Linked DNA regions of Sus scrofa. The protein of the gene in region 1 interacts with the protein of each later gene in a pairwise test. Links are inferred from orthologs where the notes say so. Each region holds a gene or a part of one and is shown in the gene's direction. Other genes may lie near its edges. The genes, in order: MPPED2, RXRG and CAGE1.

Evidence for each region.
Region 2: the proteins of MPPED2 (region 1) and RXRG interact in binary tests that used the Homo sapiens proteins (3 or more experiments, as listed by UniProt). The two-hybrid records come from large-scale screens. The link is inferred for Sus scrofa from reciprocal best matches to the Homo sapiens genes MPPED2 and RXRG.
Region 3: the proteins of MPPED2 (region 1) and CAGE1 interact in binary tests that used the Homo sapiens proteins (3 or more experiments, as listed by UniProt). The two-hybrid records come from large-scale screens. The link is inferred for Sus scrofa from reciprocal best matches to the Homo sapiens genes MPPED2 and CAGE1.

The regions. Positions count from the first base shown.
Region 1 is NC_010444.4:30,214,707-30,218,356, forward strand, and holds part of MPPED2 (metallophosphoesterase MPPED2), read left to right. Parts: intron 1-2,181; coding exon 2,182-2,295; intron 2,296-3,650. UniProt on the Homo sapiens protein: Displays low metallophosphoesterase activity (in vitro). May play a role in the development of the nervous system.
Region 2 is NC_010446.5:85,343,206-85,346,855, forward strand, and holds part of RXRG (retinoic acid receptor RXR-gamma), read left to right. Parts: intron 1-2,093; coding exon 2,094-2,254; intron 2,255-2,374; coding exon 2,375-2,504; intron 2,505-3,650. UniProt on the Homo sapiens protein: Receptor for retinoic acid. Retinoic acid receptors bind as heterodimers to their target response elements in response to their ligands, all-trans or 9-cis retinoic acid, and regulate gene expression in various biological processes.
Region 3 is NC_010449.5:4,691,631-4,695,280, reverse strand, and holds the end of CAGE1 (cancer-associated gene 1 protein), read left to right. Parts: intron 1-281; exon of another isoform or gene 282-422; coding exon 423-542; 3' UTR 543-563; exon of another isoform or gene 564-845; intron 846-2,301; 3' UTR 2,302-3,183; downstream 3,184-3,650.

The DNA.
Region 1 (3,650 bases):
CTGACTGGTAACCATGAGGTTGCGGGTTCGATCCCTGGCCTTGCTCAGTGGGTTAAGGATCCAGCATTGCCATGAGCTGTGGTGTAGGTCACAGATACGTCTCAGATCCTGCGTTGCTGTGGCTGTGTTGCTGTGGCTGTGGTGTAGGCCTGCAGCTGAAGCTCCAATTCAACCCCTAACCTGGGAATCTCCATATGCTGCAGGTGTGGCCCTAAAAAAGCAAAACCAACTAACAAAAAAAGTCAAAATGAATTAATTTCCCTATTCCGCAGTCCTTAGAGGCTAACTAAAGTATCAAATAGCTGGCTGATTATTCCGATCAGCATGAGCTGCATGAGTTACACAGAGAGAACCTAGAGAGACCTCATCCCGGCCAACTTGACTCTTTACCTGAGCTTCCTTGTTGGTGCAGGCACACGATCCTCCATGGGCTGTTTACCGTGAGGGACTTGGGCAGCCTCAGCATAGAGATGTTTACAGACTTAAGGTATTATTTGGAATATAATTTTAAACAGAACGATTAGTTGATTCATAGATGCCATCAGGCCATTAATTTTGGTACAGAAAGTGAGTGGCAGTAACAGTAAGTCTGACTTCTAGCGTCCAGAGAATTCAGACATCCCAGAAACTTAATAGGGAGGTTGCCTTCCCTCTCTTTGAAGTAAAGGTGGAGTAATCAATCCACAGAGGGACTGTGCGTATAGCAAAGAGAGATCCATAGCGAGAAGTTCCAAAATGAAAGGTCAGGCAACGTTTTCATAAGGTAACATTGAACCTTAACCAACAGGGAATCTTGTGGACATTCTGGACTAGGAGGTGGGGGCTGGCTGGGTGTAAGAATTGCCCTCAAATCCTCTCCTGCTGGCAAGGGAGCCCTGGCACATGGGATGTTAACTATTACGGTACAAATAAGACATTTTCTCAGGTGATTGCATATGAAATGAGATATTTTCCCTCTTCATGAGAAACATATCCATGAGGGACTAAGACAATCACTGTGGGTTACAAATTTTTTTCCTCTAATTAACAAAGTTTTGAAACCCCTGGTTGGATTTTTTTTTTTTTTTTTTTTTTTTTGACTGCGCCTGTGGTATGTGAAAGATCCCAGGCCAGAGACTGAACCTGAGCCAAAGCAGTGACAAGGCCAGATTCTTAACCCACCTAGCCATCAGGGAACTCCCGAAAGCCCTGGTTGGATTTTTATAGGGCCCCTACTTTTATCCAATGTTTTTCCCAAACTCTCTGTCCATTCCCCACACCCCAGCCAGCATGTCTTTACAGAGATGCTGCATCTTCGTTTCTACAGTTCCGCCAAAGTGGAATAAGCTAGCCTGTTCCTTTTCTGCCTGACCATTTCTGAATAGTAGAAATCACCTAATGGAGCTGTGGAATGGATCCCCACTGATGATGATTTAGCCTTTTGTCCAACCTGCCTTCTTTATACCCTATCCTGCTGAGGTGATTGGATTCCATTCCGGGCCATAATCACTCAGATGGCTGACTTCTGCTATAATTGATGTCCGTTTTTATGGATTTTTCCGCATCAAGCATAGAACTAAGTGGCTTTTATGTAAAGGTAGTCAATTAGCCCCAGTTTGCTGCATGCCACTGCCAGGTCACCATGGTTGCCCTATTGCCAGAGAGGGCACTCAAGGAGGAACTTGGTATTCCTAAGCTTTGGTCATCAGGAACCACCAAGGGTTAAGAGTTGATGTGTCTATAGAGAGCAGGGTATCATGTGGCCAGTTTATAGGCAGCCCCTCCTAGCCCTTCTTCTTTGAGCCATCTTGGAAGTAGACTGCTATAAGAGATACAGGTTTTTTTAAGAGAGAAAATAACTGAATTAAGAGAAAAAGAGAGAGTATGGGACTGCCGGGAATAAATGTCATTGGGCCAATGAAGAAGATTTGAAGCCCTTGGCAGAATAAATCAAATACCTTACAGGAAAAAAAAAAAAAAGTTAATTAACAGGAAGAAAAAAGATGGAAACAAAAAAAAAAAATTCAAGAACTTAAAGAAGACAAAGTGAAAATTCCTTAAAAGCCATTGTGAGCTTTAATGGAGAGGGTAGGATTACAGATAATGTAATAAACCTTCTGTGAGTTATAGCTTCCTGAAAGTCTAAATGAAACCTTACCTGAAGGCAGAAAATTAAGAGTATTGATTACATTTTGCCCTTAGGTTTTCGAGACTGGGTTCCAAAGGAACTTCAGAGAGTGGGCTGCGTGGAGCTTTTAAACACAGTCCAGCGGCGAGTCCGGCCCAAACTCCATGTGTTTGGTGGAATCCATGAAGGTAAGGCTGAGAGAAAGGCTTCACAGCATGCTGTGTCATTGTCCGTGATGCATTCCGCAGTAGAGACTTTAGCTACATGGGAGTACTAGCAGTGGTTCCCAAACTCTTTTTACCAGTGCAACCCTTTCCTAAGGTCAAGCATTAGGAGAAACACCCACTTATAAAGCTGCTGATAAATATTTTGTGTGGAGCTGCTCTCTTTTAAGCAGCATGGAGAGTTAGGAAACCAGGTCTGGCCCACCTTTTGGCAAACACAGCGCTAACCCTGGACAGATTCTGGAATCTTCATAGAAACATGAAGAATGTTTGATAACCACTGCTCGAAAGCACCCCTGGGGGGAAAAAAAGGTCAGATTTTCTCCTTGAGAGTGTTAGAAGAAATGGATTTTAGACTAAATATCATCCATGGCCTCGTCCTCCCTATAAATACTGAGTTTCCTACGGCATGTGTGCAAAGACCCAGGAAGACAAGACTTTCTCCAAAAAATAACTTTGGATGTGCAAGGAAAAAGACAAAAAACGGAAGTGACGGAAGCTACGCTTTGCAGGTAGACATTGCTAATCTCAGAAAACCATTTCAGACTTCTCAGAAATCAGCGCTATTAACCCGGGCTGAGGTTAAACAGCCTAATTAAATCTCCCCTACTTGGGAACTGGTCCAGTTGCCATTTTCTGCCTTTCTAGGTAAGCTGAGTCAAGTTCACAGAACCAGAAAACCTCATGGGAAGCTTCAGGAGTCTAGGTTTTGTCTGTCCTGACTTTTTTAAGCCAGGCCTTCTTTCAGCAGGCCTTATGTCTTCTGGCCATACCAGTCTCTCATGGTTAGAAATGTTTGTGTGCAGTGGGTGTGTGTATGTGGGCAGGCGCCAGATTTTGCTTTTCAAAGCCCACAGTCCAGTGGCTTCCTGGTTAGGCAAGCAATAAACAGCATATTGAAAATCATCCTATTGAGACCAGAGAAAATTCAGCTTACTCCAAGTGCAGGCACGAGCTGAGTGGATGGAAAGCTAGGCGGGCAGCTCCCAGAGAGCGGATATCATCCTGAAAAGGTGGGCACTTGTCTAAGGCATGGTACAGGCTGCGGGTGGGGGAGGATGGGAGATCATGTCCCAACAGCATTTCTGGGGACCAGTTATCGGGTTTGAATTCCTGCCTCGTGCCTATGAGTTTGCTTTTTTTTTTTTTCAATCATTAATTAGCTTTAAACTAGCCAGACAATTGGGGAATTCCACTAAAGTCCCAAAATAATAAACTTGCTTAAAAAGGAAGAGATCATATTCAAATAAACTTGTCTCGCTTTTATTCGCTTAGGACAGCTGAAGAGGGCAGAGAGAGGGCAAATACCAGCCTCTTGA
Region 2 (3,650 bases), on another chromosome or scaffold:
CCATATATCATGATAAATATATGTTGGATTAATGGACAAAATACTGTTGTCATCCTATTTGAGACTCCACCGTCCCCTGAATGTCCCCTGACGTCTGTAGAAGCAGTAGCTCAAAACGTCTGCCCTTTGGAAGATTTTCCCCAGCAACGACACCTCATTTATGACAATAAGATTTATGGCACAAAAAGAAGAAGTGACTAGCAAAGGATCACTCAATTAATGGCAAAATTGGAATTAGACTCTAATTCCCCAAGGCCAAGGTTATTTTCTTTGAAGCTTGAAGGTGATTTTCCTTGAGTGTTACAAATCTGTAGAAGAAATCAATTGAAGACCACAAAAGGAATTTAACTTAGTTTGCTTTTCCCCATCTCTTCAAATCAAGACAAATAGAAGCCCATTAACCTACCTTTAAAAAAACTAATATGAGAAGCATTCAACTTTAACTGGCAAATTCAACCGATAATAAAAACACATGTGAGAGTTTCTGTATGCTGTCAGTGAATGAAGACTAATGGACTGGACGGAAAGAAAGAATGAGGGAGGATGAGAAATAAGGAGAGCGAGGGAGAGGTCAAAAGAGGGGCTGGAGAGAGGACCAGAGCAGAGAAGAGGAGAAAAAGAGACCAAGGGGAGGGAAAATGCTAACTTTTTTCGAACTTTTAAATAATGACTTATGTAAACTTCACAAACCAATCTCAGTATGATAATCACCACTTTACATACAGGGAAAAAGGCTTCATAGGCTGAGTACTATGTCTGATGCGGGCCCACTTGGAGTAAGTTTTCTTTGACTCCAAGGTACATGTTTGTTCTATTTTCTCCTCTCTGTTCCCTTTCTCTTCTGATTCTTCTTTTTCTTATTCCCCTGCTCTAATCTTTCTCCCCTTTCTTTCTCCACTCCTTCCTTCCTCCCCTCCCTCCCTCCCAACCCCTAAATATCATTCTCATCAGGAGACTTCCTTGACTAGAGGCTGTGGCACGTCAGCCGTGTTTGTGCTGTCAGACCCTTCCCTGACCTACTTTGAGAGATCAATAATATCACTCGCGTGACAAACTAGATGTCCAGCATCCGGTCCCAGTTCATTCTGCAGCCTCTGTGGCTCCTTATGTCCTCAGAGAGTGGGAGGTGCCTGGGAGAGCAGACGATGGGGTGGAAGGGAGAGCAGAGGAGAGGTCAAAGTTGCTGATGGAGTGGCTGTCACTGAGGTCCAGGTTAGCCACCCACTTAGAGTGTAATTTTCTTGCTTCTTGGGATTAGAAAAATGGGTACTTGTATTGCATTCTGCTTCTTGACACTGGGAATAAGAAGATGGAAACTGGAACTTTCAGGAGGATGGAAACTAACCCAAGAGACTGCTCTCCCAGTGGAGAGGACAGAACTGGGGGAATGGGGTCTGCCTGACATCCTAATGCACAGACCCAGAGGGTTCTTTGATGAAAACCCTAAGTTTTGAGAGGCTGAGGTAATTCCAGCCTACACCTTTGCCTGTATACCCTTCCCCACCCCCCAAGTCAGCTGCTGATTCTAAAATGTCATCCAGGTGACATTCCTCCACCCTTCTGCTTACTAAATACCCACACGGCTCCCTGAAGATCTTCCCTGACAAGTCAGATCAGGTGATGTTGTGTTCAGGCCGGTGCACTAGGGGCAGACCTAATGGGACGTGAATGCCAAGCTTGATGCATAGGATCTGACAGAGGGAGTTTTTAGAGTAATGTGCTTGCTGCTTAACTATTGCATGCTCACAGTTGAATAGAGGTAGCAGGTGGAGGAAGGATATGGGAGGAGGTAGTCAGTCGTTCATGAAAAGAAAGGGCAGAATCGGAGGTTATTAAAGCTTAAAATGCACACTTCTTCCAGTGGTCACCATAATGAACCGTGAAGAATATGGATAAAAACCCCATAGTCTGGCGCAGGCATAAGCAAATAGTCTGCTTTCTTGGTTTCATCTGTTACCATTACAACAGTCTGATTCATATATCATGATGATGTCCATTTTACAGATGGGGAAATAGAGGCTGAGGGAGGTAACTAACTTTCTCACTGTGGTCCTGGGCATATGGTAACGTCTGTACCTCCTTGCCCCTGCCAGCTGTGCAAGAAGAAAGGCAGAGAAGCCGGGAGAGGGCTGAGAGTGAGGCCGAATGTGCCAGTAGTGGCCATGAAGATATGCCTGTGGAGAGGATTCTGGAAGCTGAACTTGCTGTTGAACCAAAGACGGAATCCTATGGTGACATGAACATGGAGAATTCGGTACGCATGTGGTCTTAGATCTCCATCTGACTTCCATTTCCTGGATGGGGTTGGAAACGAGGAAGGGGTATGTTTGAATCCCAGAATCTGTCCCTCAGAGTTACTTTGTTCCTTTTTCAGACGAATGACCCTGTCACCAACATATGCCACGCTGCTGATAAGCAGCTCTTTACTCTCGTTGAATGGGCCAAGCGTATTCCCCACTTCTCTGACCTCACCTTGGAGGACCAGGTCATTCTGCTCCGGGCAGGTAAGGAATATCAGGGATCATTTCTTTTTGGGACAAGGGCTTGGGCTGCCACTTTGAACTCACCCCGGGGATCTGAAAACAAGTAACCTAATCGCGCTGTAACACATCCGAGCTGTTTACCTTGTTGAGACAGGAGAACCCTATGCAAGATTGTTCTTTTTTATATTATTCGTAGGCTCTTAAATGTGGATAGCCCTCCCCTAAGCCTTTTGTTCCCCATGAAACCTTGTTTGTTAAATGGAGGAGTAAGACTCTTTTTTCCATGCAGATTTTTCCCAGGCCTTATCATTTGCATTTAATTTTCAAAGATAGCGCAGCCATTTTTATTGAAGACAATTTGAGGCCAAGCCTCATCATTCTTATGAAATCGGAAAATAGTGATATTCCCATTTCACAGGCGAAGTAAGGGAAACCTGGGATTTTTGCTCAGGCTTGTCCTAGACAGGTGCCAGGGTCCCTTCCTATTTTAAGATTCTATGTGCTGTCATCTCTCTTGCCTCCCGTTTCTGGAACACTCTGCAGTTGACATATGCCAAATCTGCTCTTTGTCACTGAGCCAGCAGGGAAATTTCACGAAGATTGGCCGAGCCCCGGGAGCCAGGCCACTCATTTCGCTCCTATTAGATAATGAGCGAGCCCTGAGTGTCGATGGAAAGCTGCATACCGGCCAGGGTGCTACTAGACGATGCCAAAGAAACAAAACTAAGCTGTCAGATCCTGGGGGCAGAGACTGCAGGGTGTACTTGCTTTATCCACCATGACCGCTAACATAGTGACTATTACCTGTCAGGTGTTCAATCCATATTTGCTGACAGGTTGGGGAGAAAAGGAATCCTGTCCTCAAGCTCCCATTCTGGGCTGCGCTGGGGAGAATGGGGATGCATACAGCCACAAGTCGGGGGACCCAGTCTTATCCTCTGTCTCTGCACTAATTAGTGATGTTGTCTGGCGCAATGTCCTTACCTCCCTAGATGGTTTTTCTTTTTTGTTTTTTAGGGCTGAATCCACAGCATATGGAGGTTCCCAGGCTAGGGGTAGAATTGGATCTACAGCTGCTGGCCTACACTACAGCCACGGCAATGCAGGATCCAAGCCACGTCTGCGACCTACACCACCGCTCATGGTAACACCAGATCCTTAAGCCAC
Region 3 (3,650 bases), on another chromosome or scaffold:
CACATGAGTATTAGCTTCATGGGCTCCTGGAGGGAAATTAAGGTCTGAGAGGGGAAACCAGGTTAAAGATGACTTTGCAGCATCTGGAATCTGCCCGCGAACAAGGAGAACCTGTGGGGGTGGAAGAGTTAACACAGGTTGTGTGCGGGCAGGGCTGGGTGCCTGAGTGCTGCTGTGCGGGGTGTGTGGTTAGACTTTGTCATCTTGCACCTGCAGGCCCTCTCACAGTGCGTGTACCTCCTTTGGCGCGTGGCTCACAGATGCAGCATCTAAGCCAGTGCTCCTTTCGATAAACATTTAGTGACTTTCAGTAAACCATGTGACAGTCTCTGTGTTAAATGCCGAGAATACAATGAGAAGTGAGGCAGAGAAGGCGCAGGACCATGTAACTGACGGGGCGGTGGTACTTGACTCTCTTCTAGGAGGGTGCATGGGTCTCAGTGTCCAGGAGCCCTGGGAGCACAGACGCAGCCGCCCCGGACTGCGTGAGCAACCTCAGGGCGGGTTTCGCAGGAGTGAGGACACCGGAACCAGATCTTTAACGCTGACTCCATGTTCCCCAGGTGGGTAGAGGAGGGAGGCTCTTCTCAGGGCACCAAGGCCTCAGGGGCCATGACGCTCTCTGAAGCACAGGTAGAACCTCACGCCTGCGTTCCTCAGGTGGCGGGAGAGGGAGATGACGGAGAACGGCGCGATGTGGCGTCCCCGCTGTGACGCGGTGGCTTGAGGATCTGGCTTGTCTCTGTGGCCGGGCCAGTTCGATTCCTGATGGGGGCAGTGGGTTAAGGATCCGGCATTGCTCCTGCTCTGGCTCACATCAGTCCCCGGTCTGGAACTTCCGTATGCTGTGGGAAGGGGAAAGAGAAAAAGAAAAAAAAAAAAATAGCATCATGCACCACGCTGAGAAATGTGAAGTGTATCCCAATGAGAAGCTCTGAAAGAGGAGTGATGTGCTCAGTTATGCCTTTATTTTTTTGTCTTTTTTTTTTTTAGGGCCACACCCACGGCACATGGAGGTTCCCAGGCTAGGGGTCCAATCGGAGCTACAGCTGCCAGCCTACACCACAGCCACAGCAACACCACGTCCAAGCCACGTCTGTGACCTACCCCACAGCTCATGGCAACGCCGGATCCTTAACCCACTGAGCGAGGCCAGGGATGGAACAGACATCCTCATGAATCCTAGTCAGGTTCGTTCCTGGAGCCACGACAGGAACTCCGCAGTTATCCCTTTTAAGGGTCGCCTACTGGTGACATAAAGGGTAGGCTGACGCTGCGTGATGGTAGAATCAAAGGTACCCAGGCAAGATACTGAGACAGTGCTCCACGCGAGAAAACCAAGGCCAGAAGCTAAAATAGTGACGGAAGAGGTAGAGAGGAGGTGAGGATGCAAAGTGACGTCAAAGACAAAGTGAAAAGGATCTGGTGCTTGTCAGCGACGGGAGTGAAGCGGAGCAGCCGGGGGCTGCCGGGGTCTGGGGGGGGGCGGTCGCCTTCGCGGAGGGGGGGACCTCAGGAGGGACAGCTGGTTTGGGGGAAGGGGAGGATGGGGGCAAGGCTGCTGTGAAACACCTGGGGGTCTGTTTAGAAAGCAATTAACTAGATGCTGAGAAGGATCCAGGGGTCAGAGGTCATTGATGAACCCAGGTCTCAGAGGCGGAGCGAGGGCCTGGGTGCCCCAGCGCAGCACAGGCTGGTCACCCCTCCTTCTGAGCCTGGCAGAGGGCAGCGCAGGCAGGTCCCAGGCAGCTGTGCGCGGTAAGGAACTCGTGGCGGAAGGCTTGGCTCTGGCAGAAGGAGGCTGGCAGAGAGGCGAGGGTTTGAAACGGCCGCAGCCCTGCCCTCCCGGAGCAAGGCGTGGGCCCTCACCGCGGGCATCACCAGGAGGCGCGGTGTCTGCTGCACCCCACCGTTTCTGTGTGTACCCACTTTCTTCGCTGCCCCTTCGTCCCTTGCTTCCTTGATTCTGACCCATCGCGTCCTCTTGAGGACCTGCTCCGTCATTTTCACTCTCACACGTTTAATTGACAACTTGGCATTGCACTCTTACCCTCCCCTTTCAAAATCCTCCTGCAACCCTCTTCTAAACCCTCTTCCACATCCTGTCTTAGTCACATAGGCCGTTTCGACTCGCAGGTTTTCTGATAAAAATGTTTCCGTACTGCTGATCTCAACGTGGCACTCTCATTTTCAAAGGCTGTGTGATATTATATAATGAAATAACTTAATGAATCATGGTTTAGGGACAAGAGTTCCAGTTCTTACTTTCTTGTTTTGTTCTGTTTTTGGCTGTGTCCGCAGCATGCAGGAATCCCTGGCCCAGAGATCAAACCTGTTCCACAGCAGTGACCACGCCGGATCCTTCAACTGCCAGGCCACTGGGGAACGCCTCCGTTTCTTACATTGTAGTCCAGAAATCACTGCCTTATGTGCTCTGGCCCCAAATTTCATGTGTGTGCCTTTGCCCAGACTGTTTTCTTGTCCTCAGATGCCTTTTCCTGCCCTAACAAACGAAAATCTCTCCTCCGCTTCCACCACCAGTTCCTTGTATTTAAAACGTGCATTTTTCAAGGCCTAATGGAAATGTCCCCCTCCTCCTTCTCAGAGGGTCGTACCTGTCTCCTCCGCTTTATCTACGACTTTCTCAGGGTTCTTAGCCCAGTCTTCCCTGAACTACAGCTCGTGGGAGACAGCAAGCACAGTACAAAGAGCACTCGACATGGGATCATAAGATTTAGGTTCACGACGACTCCTTACCAGCTGTTGTGAGACCTCAGTTCACTGTCCCAGCATTTGAAGAAGATTATAGACCTGTGCTAATATCCCTGTCAAACATAATTTTTTTAACATTATGTCTGCCATCAAAAGATTGTAACATTTGCCAATATGAACATAACCCTCAGGACAAGTACGTGAAAAACTCATTGTGAAACCGGATAAGGCTCTTCCCGTATTTCGTAAGCCCAAGCTTACAAAAGAACAAGTAGAATACCGTCTTAAGAAATTCTAGTGAACACTATGTGGTGAAAATTCAACAATTTGGGGCACAGTTGGAGATTCTTAGGGGGGCCAAAGTCAAAGAAGTTGTTACAAAAAGAGAATTTTGGAGTTCCCCTCGTGGCGCAGCAGAAACGAATCCGACTAGGAACCATGAGGGTGCAGGTTCGATCCCTGGCTTCGCTTGGTGGGTTAAGGATCCAGCGTTGCTGTGGTTGTGGCGTAGGCCGGCGGCTACAGCTCCGATTCATCCCCTAGCCTGGGAACCTCCATATGCGGTGGGTGTGGCCCTAAAAAAAAAGGAAGAAGAAAAAAGAATTTTCAGGGTTTCATAGCACAACTGGCCACAGACACGTTCCACTTCAGTCTGGACCAGAGGGTTGGAACAGCCCTCATTGAAGCCCGCTGGCGCCGGCAGAACACCGCGTAGGAAGACCCCCCCCCTTTTCCCGCCCGTGTGTTCCCTTCACAATCACACCGCCTCTGACACAGACGTGTGCCAGGTCTCCCCACAGGCTGTTCTCTGCACCCTCCGCCGAGTGTCCCCAGCTTAACACCGTTTGGACACTATCTACCTGGAGGGAGCCTCAGATCCCACAGGACGCGCTCAGCCCCGTTCCCTTGCCAGTGGCGAGTCCGGGTTGTCGCCAGCG